Rattus norvegicus: one gene and its partners. The protein of the gene in region 2 purifies or fractionates together with the protein of the main gene of each other region. This does not show direct contact. Links are inferred from orthologs where the notes say so. Each region holds a gene or a part of one and is shown on either strand. Other genes may lie near its edges.

Region 1 (4,131 bases), on a different chromosome or scaffold from region 2:
CACTATTCTCCCAGCCTGTTTCATCGGAGTTTCCCTTACACCTGAAGGTTCATGTTACACAGCTCCTGTTGCTCTCTTGCTGAAAGCTTCTGTCTACTTAACACCCTTGCGCAGACTTAAAAGGTCCAAGTTCTGCATGCTGTCTCTGCACCTTTCCTTTGATGACCACCACCCCCTTAAAAAAAACTATCCAAAGTGGATTTAGCCTCCTCAATATTGTACTTGAAAGAAAAACGTAATTTTGACCGCGACCTCTTGTGATGGCATTCAGAGGCATACCAACTGTGGTACCCACTGTGGCACCACCAAAACAATAACACTATTGTTAATTTCTACCAGGTCTGGCAGGGGTGGGTCAGTCAAATCCGGAGAGACTCCGAACATCATCCGTATTCTGCTGTGTTGCTGGAATTCTAACTTTTTACCCATTTATCTCTGTAAGTGCACACGAGATGACCCGGAGGTGTCTCCACCTGGGAGAGGTACATCGGTCGGGCGCCGCGCTCTGGGGTTGCGTCCTCCGCGCACCTGGTAGTCTCAGCCTTCACTCGCGAGGCGCAGCACACAGAGCGCTTCTCGTGCGAGGGCCCGCGGCCTTGGGAAGGCGAGGGGTTCGCAGACTGCGAGTTCGTTAGGCAAAGTGGGATACAGGACTAGCTCGGGCACTGACAGCCCATGTGGGTCGGGGACTGATCCCCTAAAGCGGGCAGGTAAGGGGACTGGTCCTAGGCACCCCACGGTGATCTGGGATTTGGGCGCAGGGGCGGGGCGGTACGGAGAGGAGGCTCGGCATAAACCGGCCTTCCAGCTCCTACGCGTTCTAGGGAGAAAGGGCATGGCTTCCTTTTCCTCCTGCTGTCTTTCAAAACTGACAGGAACGCGGAAGAAAAGCTGCGGATTAAGGGTAGAACAACCGCCCCTGTAAACCTGAACTCTGGATTATTACCCAGTCCCTGCTGGGAGCTGATTATCGCCATTCCCCTCCCCCACTCTGGCGGGTAGGTCTAGAGAACGGTTTGAAGGCAGACGCATGCGCTTTAAGTAAAACGATAAACCGCTGAGACGCCAAGCGCAATAATTGCAAAAGGGCGCAGGCGCAGGAAGAAAAAAACCCCTCGGTCAGTTTATGAAGGGGCCGGAGCCCAAACGCATGCGTGTAATAATGGGCTAGCGGGAGAGAGCGCAGGTTTTCTTAATACGCATGCGTTTAATCTTTGTGTGACGCGAGTGGGGCGGGGCCGGCCACGGGGTGCGCGTGCGCAGAGTTTGCTCGGAGGGCTTTATTTAGGCTGCGCAGGCGCTCTCCTATCATTTTTCCTCAGCCACGCCGAGGCTTTGTGTGGAGGTGAGTGGTGTTCTGTCTTCGTTTGCTACCAGAGCCCTCCACGGACGCCTATTTTGGTGACGATTGCTTGTCGCTGAACTTAGGTTAAAACCTGGGGGGCCGTGGCAAGCACAGGCTACCCCTGGAAACCGCGAGTGTCTCGCCGGCGTGGCAGCGCCGCCTAGGCCTGCAGGCCGCGCCGCTTCTATTGTGTGAGATGTCTGAGGAGGCGGAGCGGAAGCGGCGGCCGCCATTTCCTTGTCTCCACCATGGCTGTAGGCCAGGGTTTTCTTAGCCTAGACCCTCCTCAGCACTGAGCGCACAGAGTGGTGTTGGGGATCGGGTCGCTAGCCGAGGCCGGGTTGCATGCTTGAGTCTCCGGGGTCAAGGCAGCGTACCGGGCGGGGCTCCCGTAGCGGCGCCCGGTCGAACCCCGCAGGGCGCCTTGAAGTGGGAGGGCCATTTAAATGACTGTTTCTTAGACGTGTTCCTAACAACCCCACCCCCCTCCCACCCCGCAGCCCTGCAGTCTGTTTCGACGCCAGGACCAGCGAAGAGACGATGATGCTGGGAGCAGAAGGCGGAGAGGGCTTCGTGGTGAAGGTCCGGGGCTTGCCCTGGTCCTGCTCCGCGGATGAAGTGCAGCGGTTTTTTTCTGGTGAGTTGAGGCGGGAGTTGTCAGTGGGGGCCCGCGGCTGGGCCGGGCGGGGCGGGGCGGGGCGGGGCGGACCTCTGGGCGCCCCCTAGCGAGTCGCAGGCACCAGCGGTTCCCGGGCTCGCGCTCTGCCAGCCGCTGTTACGCAATGGTAATTGCGAAATGCCCCCTCCTCCCGCCCCCCTCCCCTTCTCCCATTGGGATGCTGGTGGCCCTGCAGAATCTTTTCGGTCTCTAAGCACCAATCTGTGCATTTTGGAATTGTCTCTGAAAGAATTCAGTAGGGAAAGATATGATTTCTTTCCTGGTCTTGAAAAACAAATGGAGCAGTACAGACAAGTGATAGTAATTTCCCCTTTGAAGCGCTACTGCACTTCCTTACATATATTCACTTGAAAAGAGGCATTCTGCTTTGGAAAAGTTCATTTTTCCTGATTAGGATTTGGTCCTTGAATTCATGCTCTAGGTCTAGTTAATTAAAAAACTGGATCCCTTTACAACTGAGAACCCTGAAACCCAAGAAAGTTTTGTCACTGTAGAATCTTACTTATTTTTACACTATGTGTAGGCTTTCTGAATAATTTCTATCAGAATCTTATTCCCACTGTTGTAAGAGAAGAGAGGTGTATTTCAAAAACATTGACAAGTTTCGTAAAAAGGTACCTGTAGTGTTGACCTTACTGTCTGAATTTAGCTGTGGTAACAGAAAACGACCTGTAAAACAAGACTCAAGTATACTGGAAGCAATGGCAGGGGGCAGTTGCCATCGGGTTTGACTTGAGCTGTGCAGTTTGGAGCCTTTAGTTGTTTACATTGATGCCCTTTCAGGTGAGTATTGAGCTGGAGTTTGGATTTGAGTGAGCAGTTATGTGGCTGCTGATAGAGGAGAGCTGACATGGTACCCCACCCAGAAAATGCTGTGAGGTCACCAGGCCCAGATGAGGTTATTCTGAGACATTGTGCAGAGATGGTTAGTGGATACTTAGAGGCAAGGCAGTAGCTTCATTTGAACTGTTTTTGAGTATTAAGGTACCTTGATGGATTAGGAATATATCCTATATACCAGGTAATTTGATGGTGAGTGATCAGTTTAGTCTTTAGGAGTGGGTTTTTTTTTTTTTTTTTTTAATGATGACAGGAATATGCATCTCATCTGTATCACCCAGAGGTGGTTTTAAATTCTGTATTAAGCATTGTTTTCTTTTCAGACTGCAAAATTCAAAATGGGGCTCAAGGTATTCGTTTCATCTACACCAGAGAAGGCAGACCGAGTGGCGAGGCTTTTGTTGAACTTGAATCAGAAGATGAAGTCAAATTGGCCTTGAAAAAAGACAGAGAAACTATGGGACACAGATATGTTGAAGGTTTGATTTACATTGCCCTAGTAACAGTAAATGTTTAAACACATAGAGGTCTTACCCCTTCTGAATTTTAGGTATTTGACCGCATGGAAATGGTCATCTAAGGGAGTTTATGGCAGCTCTTCCTAGTTATCTAAAACCCAGGAAATCTGGACTTTGTTCTCTAACTTAATTGACTAATTCTAAGCACCTCTTTCAGTATTCAAGTCAAACAACGTTGAAATGGATTGGGTGTTGAAGCATACTGGTCCCAATAGTCCTGACACGGCCAATGATGGCTTTGTACGGCTTAGAGGACTCCCTTTTGGATGTAGCAAGGAAGAAATTGTTCAGTTCTTCTCAGGTATGTAGTCCTGTTTGTTGCTGAGCAGTGAGGTATGGCAGCTTCTGGCGACATGATTTAGTATTAGACTTTAAAGTTGAGTAGTCTAGGTACTGAAAGTAGGTTGCTGAATATATGTTGTAAAATTCACATTTTCTTCCTGGAGACCTTCAAATAACTTAAGCCCATCTTAAAAGGTGGAAATTAGAAGTATTTCCAAAGTGTTAACTTTGCCTATATTTAGTATTGTAGTTCAGAGTAGACCTTTGAGGATTCTACTCAGCCATCTTAACTACTTCCTCATATTGCTGTTTAGCAAAGTACTGCAAGTTAAAGGTAAGCTCTTTTTAACATTAGATTAGTGTTGAGTGTAGAGTGTTAGTTTATTATGGTGTTTGTTGTAAGAACTTATTTTTGGTCATGGGACCAGACATATTTTAGATAGTGTAATTTTCTGAATGAAAATTGT
Region 2 (2,255 bases):
TGGTTATGACAACTATGGAGGAGGTAATAAATTCATCTACAACCTTTATGTTGGAATTTGGATTAGAATTAATGACATTTATTTTATTGTCGATTAGATACTTTAAATTGTAGGATTGTAGTTAGGTATTGTGTACTTTTATGTCTTAGAGAAAATTTGTATTCAGAAAGTTTTTCTTCAATGCTTGTATTCAGAGGTTAGCTGGTATTTCAATTCTTTTACAGGAAATTATGGAAGTGGAAATTACAATGATTTTGGAAATTATAACCAGCAACCTTCTAACTACGGTCCAATGAAGAGTGGAAACTTTGGTGGTAGCAGGAACATGGGAGGACCATATGGTGGAGGTAATTTAGTAAATGATAGGCAATCCTTCTGGATGGTTGACTGGGGTGGAATGGAAGTCTAAAGAGTTCATCTCAGAATGGGAAGAGAATCTGACTTTGAGATGGGAGGGTAGGTAAACTTATGTAAATGTTAGGTAATGTTTTTGGTTTTTTTTTTTTTTTGGGAGTATGAGTTGGGGCATACATTGCTTAGAACCAGGGACTCTATGTACCACGCAGAATTAGGTGATTATCTCTTGAATTTAAGTAACAATTATTACTGCCAATAATCCTTACGATGGGGAAATGGAGGCAGAAAGGTCATGTTTTCAAAGTCTTGTCCTTCATGTGAAACCATGTCTCCAATATAACACTCTGCGTTTAGCTTCTTAAAGGAGCTTTTTTAAAAAACAATTCTTTATGATTTGAAGACTGGATCCATCTTATTAAGCTGCTTGTGTTTGAAGATAATAGACTTAGAAAGATGGTATCACATTTTTTTATATGCCTATAATCCGAGGGATCAAAAGGAGTAGGATCACTTTACATTGTGGGGCAGCCAGGTATATTATGTACAGTCACAAGACAGAAGGAGAACTTGGTTTCCAGGATAAGAAAAACATGTATACAGACCCTCAGATTTATGTGTTCTAAGCCTGCATTTTTGTTTGAATCATTATAGGGAACTATGGTCCTGGAGGAAGTGGAGGAAGTGGGGGCTATGGTGGAAGGAGCCGATATTGAGCTTCTTCCTACTTACCATGGGTAAGTAGTTTTTTGAGTTTTACAATTATTATTATCTTGGGAGAACTAGCTGCAGGAGTAAAAAAGCAATTTTAGGATCATGTTATCTTTCCTTAAAATCTGGTTAGATGGATAATTTCATAACCTATTTTTTTTTTACTCTTTACTTCTGTTGAAACAGGCTTCACTGTATAAATAGGAGAGGATGAGAGCCCAGAGGTAACAGAACAGCTTCAGGTTATCGAAATAACAATGTTAAGGAAACTCTTATCTCAGTCATGCATAAATATGCAGTGATATGGCAGAAGACACCAGAGCAGATGCAGAGAGCCATTTTGTGAATGGATTGGATTATTTAATACCTTACTGTGGAGGAAGGATTGTAAAAAAAAATGCCTTTGAGACAGTTTCTTAGCTTTTTAATTGTTGTTTCTTTCTAGTGGTCTTTGTAAGAGTGTAGAAGCATTCCTTCTTTGATAATGTTAAATTTGTAAGTTTCAGGTGACATGTGAAACCTTTTTTAAGATTTTTCTCAAAAAGTTTTGAAAAGCTATTAGCCAGGATCATGGTGTAATAAGACATAACGTTTTTCCTTTAAAAATTTAAGTGCGTGTGTAGAGTTAAGAAGCTGTTGTACATTTATGATTTAATAAAATAATTCTAAAGGAAATTGTGTAATTATAGACTTTTTATTTTAAATAAGTTAAGGAGTGGGTAGTATAATTAAGGTCCATTGCAAAGCTGTTGTTGTATTTGTGTAAGATAAAAATGCTGGTCAGATTTAAGTGTGTTGTCTGAAATTCATCAGGAATAAATTACCTAGTTAACTTAAGGGATATCTCTGCAAGGAGAAACACCTTTTTAGATCTTTTAGATGCTGCTTCTTCAATGCAAGGAAAGGAAATAACCCCAGCGAGGTACTCTTCAGGGACACAGGTCTAGTACAAGAGAACTCTTGACGACTAAGCTCAGCCAGTCTTAAAAAACTGTGCTGTATCTACAAAGCTTTAACTACAGTAGTTGATAAGAATGCCAACGAGAGCTGAGGGTGTAGAGCAAAGTAGTTCTAAGCTTCAGTTAAACTTCTTTAGGTAAGAACTTATTTACTTTTTCTTTCTTAATTTTCCTCCCTTAAAAGATAAACTAATAAACTCTTCAATGGTCTTTTCAGTATAGTTCTTATGT
Region 3 (4,367 bases), on a different chromosome or scaffold from region 2:
AAATGAGAATTGTGCAACTGTGGGATACAGCTCCATGATAAAGTATACTTAGGAGTATCTTGAGTTTGGGATTGCTTCAGTCCCTACCAAGCTCCTACCTAATTGACTATCCTTAACAGAGCTGGGTTTCTGTTGTTTATTTTAATGCATTTTTTTTTAACCTGCTGAAAAATCTCGTTAGGTCAGCACATAATGGGCACAAACAATTATGTGCACATTAGGCAAATAATCAATCTACTAAAAGACAACCCTAGCCTGAGTCTCAACAAATAAAAAAGATGAGTCAACTGGGCATGGTAGCTGCTTGTAATTCCAACAGGCTCAAAGCCAAGTTAGCATTTGCAAATTCTTGCAAATTCTAGCCCAGTTTGTCTCCCCGCCATGAGTAATTATTATTAACAAAAAATAAATTAAAAAACGCACTATAAAACCACAATTACTCACATTAGCAATATCATTTTCAGTCGCACGAAAAGGCAGCCCTCTCATGTGCACAAAATGACCACCATGGAAACCTGAACTTGCATCACCAGCTCCACCATAGCCATGTCCTCCCATGCCTAGATAAACCATGTGGGTTCACATAAGTATATTCATATACATCTCCAAAGCAGTGCATTGACACAAGTTTCCACTAACCTATCAAAGTTGTCTTACTACTACTGGAAAGTTACCTAATTACTACTGGAACTTTACAAAAGGGAATGGTAAAATTGACTTCAGTGAATAGTTTTTTTGTTTTTTCTCCCCCCTTTTTCGGAGCTGGGGACCGAACCCAGGGCCTTGCGCTTGCTAGGCAAGTGCTCTTCCACTGAACTAAATCCCCAACCCTGTAAAATTGACTTCATTATGACAATATTCTGTTTACCTCTTCCATCTCTCATCCTGTCATCAAAGCCATCATTCCCATAGCCGTAATTATTATAGCCACCATAGTCATCAAAACCTCCATAGCCTGTGGAAAATGTAAGGAAAAATAAATACAACTCTGAGCCATTGTTCTGTAAACTAGCAGTAACTGTCTTAGCTCTTTCAATTATGTTTGCAGCTGACTATATGTGAGAAAAAGTGAACACTTAATGGAAATTTACAGAGGATAAATTCAAACATGACATGGAAATGAAGTCTCATATTTATGCCAGGAAGAAAACATGCCAACCATCTTTATTTTTACTTCTCCACTGTGTTCTCTAGCTGTCAAGACATGCATCAATCAAGTTCCACCTGATGGTCATGGACATCCCATAATTTCATGACCAGGTTTTGAAACCTCATAGGTACTGGAATTACTGCCATTTCTGTACTTCTTGACAAAGTGTCAGGAACATCAAGAAAATGACAACAGAGCCTTTGTTCATTAGACACACATACCACCATCATATCCATCACCTCCTCGTCGCATTCTGTCATACATACTTCCACGCCCAGCTCCATAATAACCCCCTCTTCCTCCTATTGGTCTATCATATGGTCCAGGTCGCTGTCCCAGCAATCTTCTTGGTGGATCATAAAATCCTTTGATTTCACTCCTGCTACTCCTGAAGATCTCAATATACCTATTTAAAAATGTTTTAAGGTACAGGTTTCAGCTCAGATGCATTAGAGAGTAAATTAGATACTGGGCAAATGCAGTAAGTTTGTCTATATCTAGGTATATATCCCAATTTAAATTGCCTAAATAAACCATAAGGTTAACGTTTTTTTACACCTACAAACTTAAATATTTAAGTTTTACATAGACAAATGAGTCATTTGAAAACACTGAATTAGGAATATATTTTAGCTTGTTTCCTTTAGTACAAGATAGGTATATTAAAAAAAAAGAACAAAAACAAAACAAAAATCAGGTGATTATACAAAAACAAATTTAACAACATCCTACAAAAAAAATGGAAACAATCTAATTTTAATTTAAACTATAAGCATTAATTCCCCACCCAAATCTGTATTTCCATGTTAAATTTAGGTAATTATCAATTCTTTAAAACTACCCCAGAAAAATGTTATGCTTACCCCCCCCATTTAAGCAATAGCGACCCACAACCCCCAAAAATAAAAATGTAACACCATCCCAAACTCTCCATCCCCACCTGTGCCCTATTCTTTCCTTGTGTTTCCCCAGAGCATTTTCTGCTATCTCCTTTGAAGCAAACTGCACGAAGGCCTCCCCTGTGCTTCTCCCCTGGTAGTCCATCGTCAATGTTATCCCATTTGGCACGATTTCCAACCCTTTAACCCAAGGACAAATACCCCATCAAGGGGAACAGTGTTAAAGGCTGAAACATTCCCATCTGAATCAAATATTTAAAACAAATCTAAACAAAACAAAACAAAAGGCTTAGTTTCCCATCACCCCATAATACAACTGGAATAGTTTTCAAATATCATTGGATTAAATATTTTGTGACCAGTGTCTTAAAATTATACTTCTAAAAGCCCACTACATGAAAAACTACAAATCATTTAACTGTGCTCCCAATGGTAACTCACAGCCCATGTCATCACAGTTACTCTCGGTTAACTACACTATACATCATCAATGTTTACTTGGCCTACACATACTCTATGCAATAGTAACTGGAGCACATTCCCCATTTTACTATATAACCCAGGTTTTCACAAAACTAAGTTCTAAAATCAAATGGGTTTTACAAATTAAAAACAGTAACAGCTAATAAACACAATTTAAAATACTACTAAACTTTGACTAGTGCTAGAGGTACCTTGAAAGAACTGAACTATTTCCTCTTTGCTGCAACCAAATGGCAGTCCACGAAGTCGCACTGTCCCATCACTAGCGTCATTTGGACCATTATGTTTCATAACCCAATCCATTTCAATACCGCTTGATTTAAATGCTATGAAAATAAACAAGCACATAAAGCAGTCAATCACAACACAGTCTTACCAAAACTCCAACAACTCTGACAAGTGTCACAACTCAAAATGCAGGCAAAAGTTAAAGTGACTCCTGGGACAATCTGCAACAGTGTTCTATTAACATGCTTCTTTGGGGTAGGGTAGGAAAAGATAGTGAAATTCACCCCCCTCCTACCAACAACCCTGAAGATCTAACAAGGCTTGTAGAATTTTACCACCAGAATAAAATTTGCTGTCACACACTATCCTTTTCCTCATGCTACACTGTTTTACAAAGCTCCCCAGACTTTGTTTTACAGACAGGGTGTCACTATATACCAAACTTGTTTCTGTTTTTTTTTTTTTTTGTTTTTTTTTTTTTGTTCTTTTTTTCGGAGCTGGGGACTTGTTTCTGTTTTAAAACAAGGATCTTCACCTTTAATCCCAGCATTGGAGAGGCAGAGGCAGGAGAATCTCTGGGAGTTTAAGGCTAGCCTTGTCTACAAAGTAAATTCCAGGATAGCCAGGGCTGTTCTCTAGTCTCAAAAAAAAAAAAAAAAAAAAAAAAAAAAAACCAAACACCAACAAAAAGAATACAAGACGAGAAACAAAACCAAAAATCCAAGGGCCTCAGTGCCCAGGTTCGCCTTGAACTTCAAGCAGTCGTGCCTCAGCTGGAGAGTACTAAGCTTTACTGACACACCTGCCCAACTGCAAATGTTTAATAACACAAAGGTATATATAGTACATGCCTATTCATATTTGAAGTCTGAGTATAAAAACAAACTAATGTAGCCAGGTGGAGCTCTATAACCTGGACAGGACTCATAGATGGAATTACAGATGCTACCACACCAGCTTAAGATAATCCCACCCTCACCCCCATGAGATGACTATAATTCATCACAAAAAGCACTGCTTCTCTTGCAGAGGACCTGGGCTCTATTCCCAGCACCTACACAGGGGCTTAGAACCTTGTATAACCCCAGTTCCCATGGATCTAACACTCTTTGGGTTTCTACCCATGTGGTATACATAACACAGACACAAGCAAAACATTCATAAAATTAAAATGAGGGAAAGACAAGTATTTCAGTAGCAAGTACAAGGGAGAAAGCTCTTTTGTGTGTCTAAAACTTAAAACACCATTTTTGCCAGGAAAGTCCTTATGAAAACAAGAACTCTGAAAAACACTACACTGATAACTTTTATTTAACAATCTTTTATTACAGTTAATTAATCTGGTGTATGTGCTCATACCTCACACACATACCTGAGTGCAATGTGAAGGTCAGAGAAAAATTTTTGTTCAACAGTTCTTGATTTCAATTAACAAAACTTTACTGGGCAAAAACTGATTTGGACAAAAAGTTATCTCATAGGGTGACTTTCTATTCAAGTAAAGAGAGTAGGGAAGCAGCCTTGCTCTAATATACCTTTTAAGTCAACTCTAGAATCCCACTAAAACCCAAAGGGCAGTCTGTTCTGATACCTTAATATACAGTTTT
Region 4 (3,567 bases), on a different chromosome or scaffold from region 2:
TTAGTTTGTTATTCTGAATATAAAGACAACTAAGCGCCTTAAAAGTACATGTTAGTGCTGAGGAGAAAGAGACAACCAAGCATAAGGAGTTATGTTCTATACCCACCAGCATCCACAATGTGCAATCAGATGGGTCTGTGAGAAAGATGGCTGGCCGGCTAGGTACCTTAATGTATTTTACTGTTCTGTGAAGGAAAAAAAGTCCAGTGAAAGGACTTATTTATTCTGCTTCATAGTTCATGACAAGATTCAAGGTGACAGAAACTTGAAGCAGTTGGTCACCTTGCAGAGTGCAATGAATTTGTGCTGTTAACTGTTAGTTTCAGTTTCTGTTTTTACTGTCCAAGTAACGAAGCATTTATAGTGGACAGGTCTATCTTCTTTCTCTCTAACAGACCATACTACCAGGGGATTTGGAGTAAAGTTACCAGTTAACATTAACTATCAGACTAACCTACTTGTCTGTTTTGTGGAGATTATACTATGGCCTCCACATGCATAGACATAGACACACGCAAAGAAATAAGGCTGATCAGCATAGTTCTCATTAGTTTAGACGTCCTTCCAGATTATTGAAAACATGTATCCAAACATGGAGTGTCAAATTGTCATTAGGGATAATCTTTAAAATATGTAGATGTAGCTCCCCCACCCCCAAACTTGATAATTAAAAGAGCAATTTTTTTTTTAAGCAGAAAATAATTCTGGAGTTGAGTCTTCATCTGGCTATGGTTCTCCTGGACCCACCTGGGACCGAGGAGCCAACTTAAAGGATTACTACTCAAGAAAGGAAGAGCAAGAGGTGCAAGCGGTAAGCAGTCTCATGTAGTACATGCTTGAAAGTGGGATTACTTACACATTTTGAGACAATCTTGAATCCCAGTCTGGTCTTCATTCCAGTGGCCCTAGCTTAATAGCCTATTTTACTAGTTGTTAGATCTAGCCTGGTGTACATCTTGTAGTCTCAGCATTAGGGTCAGGAGAATGACTAGCTCAAGACCAGGCTGGACTATAGGGTTCTAAGAACATAGTGATGTCCTATCTCAAAAATACAGGCTCAGTGATAAAGTGGTTGTCTAGCCATGTTCAAACCCCTGGATCTCAGCACTACAAAAATGTAGTTTTATATTGAAAAAAGCTGTATGTTATTTAGTATTCCTTATGTACATATAAGTAGCGCAGCCAAATTTAATCATCATTGATTCTACAGACTCTAGAGTCAGAAGAAGTGGATTTAAATGCTGGGCTTCATGGAAACTGGACTTTGGAAAATGCTAAGGCTCGTCTGAACCAGTATTTCCAAAAAGAAAAAATCCAAGGAGAATATAAGTACACCCAAGTGGGTCCCGACCACAACAGGTTTGCTTGTTTCACTATTTTCCTTGTAAAAAATTAAGGTGATTTGACTTTGTTTACTAAGTGTTCCTCAGTTAATTCTGTGCAGCAGCAGTGAATTGTGAAAAGATATATAACTATAGTTTACCATAACTTTTGCTTAAGAATGTAATGCTATTCTATAAGAAGTCCTGCAAAAGGTCTGTTGCTGGACTTTGATGCCAGTTAATATCTACAGTGGTCGTTTGCTAGTTGTTGACTTAATTGGTCAGAGGTGGTGATTTTTTTCTCCCCAGTGTAGTTTTATTGGTGATAGCTTTAAATACTTAAATGGTTCTGCAGTGTTTTGTTGTCTTAGAAGTAGATTGTATGTATTACCTATACATCCAAATTTGACCTCGGTTTAATGTTGACAGCTCTTTTAAGAATCCTGTTACTTGAGTACTATGAAGTTAAAGGATCGCGAAGTTCTTATGTATGGTTTAAATAGAATGCCTTTTTTTCCTGTTAAGCTTATAAAACAATGTAAGGGAAGATAATGTGACCGTATGTTTCTCAGCCTGCTTGATGTTCTTCCTAAGAGCATTCCAGGGTGTAGTACTTATTACTCCCAGGAAGGCTCATACAGATTAGATTCTTCAGGGAGGCACTGCATTATTATTGGAAGAGAAAAGGAAGTGGTTCTGGAAAATAACGATTCGATTTGCTGTCTTTAATTATAAAAAATAAATTATCCAAAATAAATTTAAAACATTTTTCTGAAATTAAAGTGTTCTCCCTTGGGTGCAAGTAGCAACCCTAAAATTATCATTACCCAAAACAAAAAACAAATTGACAACATATTCAAAATGATGAGAGCATGGCTCCTCCTGCTTCCTACTGCTTTGTTCAGTCCTGAATTCTCAAATACTACATACTTAGTGTTATATTTTTAAGATCGTTCTCCATTTTGGTGTCATAATTTTAAAAACAAAACTCCAGGCTGTAAAAAGACACCATTTCCTTTAATGCTTTGTCTACAACTTACTGCACTTGGCAGCTCCTGGTGGTTTTTCTTTTTTTAAGAATAAGTGAAAGGCTGGAGCACAGGAGTGGAATGTTTGCATAGCATGCATGAGGCCTTGAGCTCAAATTTCCAACATCAATGTTACCACTACTACTATTATTTTGAATTGCTGCCCTCCCCCCAGAAAAAAACCACCAACATTTGATGTCAGTATCTTACTGATTTCTGATGTAAAACAAAGAATTCGGGACAAGACAATGTAAGAGGCAGACAGTTGGAGCTGGGACACATTGCTCCTGTATGTCCTTTATTGAAAGGCATAACAGACAGCAACACCAGAGGTCTGTGTTCATATACACATGTGCTGATGCTTAGGCTGAACTAAGCAATCACATGGGAAACTATTGTAAACTGATTTCTGGTGTTGCTGTTCCCCCCTAGGTGGAGGAGAATGAGATTGAGTGCTGACTTTAAGCCTGGCTGAGAAACATACTGTCATCGGTGTCATTAATGAAAGGGTGGATGTTGTTCCCCTGAAAGCCAGTGGCCTTTGACCCCCCTTGAAGCCCTTGTGCCTGAAGGTCAGTTGACAAAGAAGTTTAGGAAGGAACCTAACTTATCTTTTTCCTTAAGTTTCACCTAAACTTTTATTCACAGCACAAAGCCAAGTTTGAGTGTGCCCGAGCAGTAAAGGACCAGCATAAAACCCTAAAACCTATATTTACTCCTAGGGCCTGCTAGCAGTTTTAGCTATCTATAATGTGAAAATGACTTTTGTCCTCTAGGCCCTGATTTAAGTATCTTAAAAAAGTAGGCTAAATTTTTTTGTAACCAAGGACTTCTTCCAGCTTGAGATAATTTGAACTCTGCCACAGGAGCTACTGGTATATAGTGGTTGCATGTGTAAACTACCCTAATAAGTTGCAGTTGTAAATTAGTATATATACATAGATACTTTTGAGGAGTTTGGTGTTTTTCTTAGCTCTCCAAGATAAGCAATCTTCTTTCATTGAAAGCATTCTTATATTGAGACACGAGCCTTGGAGTAAAAATAAGTAAATCTATAATCTAAAACCATAACTTTTTTTTCATGAAAGAAAGCTCATCAGCTGCTTTATAACTAATGTCCTATATATTTGCAGTTTACATACTTTCTGTTCTAGGACTGGACAAAAATAAGTGTTCAAAATGGTTTTTGCTGTAATGTCTTATCTAATGCAGTTGGA

Evidence for each region.
Region 1: the proteins of Hnrnpa2b1 (region 2) and Hnrnph1 purify together in Homo sapiens (affinity purification with mass spectrometry; 5 studies listed by BioGRID and IntAct, with this or other methods). This does not show direct contact. The link is inferred for Rattus norvegicus from reciprocal best matches to the Homo sapiens genes HNRNPA2B1 and HNRNPH1.
Region 3: the proteins of Hnrnpa2b1 (region 2) and Hnrnph3 fractionate together in Homo sapiens (co-fractionation; 3 studies listed by BioGRID and IntAct, with this or other methods). This does not show direct contact. The link is inferred for Rattus norvegicus from reciprocal best matches to the Homo sapiens genes HNRNPA2B1 and HNRNPH3.
Region 4: the proteins of Hnrnpa2b1 (region 2) and Dhx9 purify together in Homo sapiens (affinity purification with mass spectrometry; 4 studies listed by BioGRID and IntAct, with this or other methods). This does not show direct contact. The link is inferred for Rattus norvegicus from reciprocal best matches to the Homo sapiens genes HNRNPA2B1 and DHX9.

The regions. Positions count from the first base shown.
Region 1 is NC_086028.1:35,193,351-35,197,481, forward strand, and holds the start of Hnrnph1 (heterogeneous nuclear ribonucleoprotein H), read left to right. Parts: upstream 1-1,282; 5' UTR 1,283-1,345; exon of another isoform or gene 1,346-1,428; intron 1,429-1,845; 5' UTR 1,846-1,885; coding exon 1,886-1,982; intron 1,983-3,187; coding exon 3,188-3,343; intron 3,344-3,539; coding exon 3,540-3,683; intron 3,684-4,131. UniProt on the Homo sapiens protein: This protein is a component of the heterogeneous nuclear ribonucleoprotein (hnRNP) complexes which provide the substrate for the processing events that pre-mRNAs undergo before becoming functional, translatable mRNAs in the cytoplasm.
Region 2 is NC_086022.1:81,868,497-81,870,751, reverse strand, and holds the end of Hnrnpa2b1 (heterogeneous nuclear ribonucleoproteins A2/B1), read left to right. Parts: coding exon 1-23; intron 24-224; coding exon 225-347; intron 348-1,008; coding exon 1,009-1,070; 3' UTR 1,071-1,091; intron 1,092-1,251; 3' UTR 1,252-1,740; downstream 1,741-2,255. UniProt on the Homo sapiens protein: Heterogeneous nuclear ribonucleoprotein (hnRNP) that associates with nascent pre-mRNAs, packaging them into hnRNP particles.
Region 3 is NC_086038.1:25,618,031-25,622,397, reverse strand, and holds the start of Hnrnph3 (heterogeneous nuclear ribonucleoprotein H3), read right to left. Parts: upstream 2,859-4,367; 5' UTR 2,836-2,858; coding exon 2,724-2,835; exon of another isoform or gene 2,230-2,723; coding exon 2,091-2,229; exon of another isoform or gene 1,557-2,090; coding exon 1,372-1,556; exon of another isoform or gene 956-1,371; coding exon 869-955; exon of another isoform or gene 561-868; coding exon 445-560; exon of another isoform or gene 1-444.
Region 4 is NC_086031.1:68,175,984-68,179,550, reverse strand, and holds part of Dhx9 (ATP-dependent RNA helicase A), read left to right. Parts: intron 1-692; coding exon 693-811; intron 812-1,210; coding exon 1,211-1,359; intron 1,360-2,782; exon of another isoform or gene 2,783-2,922; intron 2,923-3,567. UniProt on the Homo sapiens protein: Multifunctional ATP-dependent nucleic acid helicase that unwinds DNA and RNA in a 3' to 5' direction and that plays important roles in many processes, such as DNA replication, transcriptional activation, post-transcriptional RNA regulation, mRNA translation and RNA-mediated gene silencing.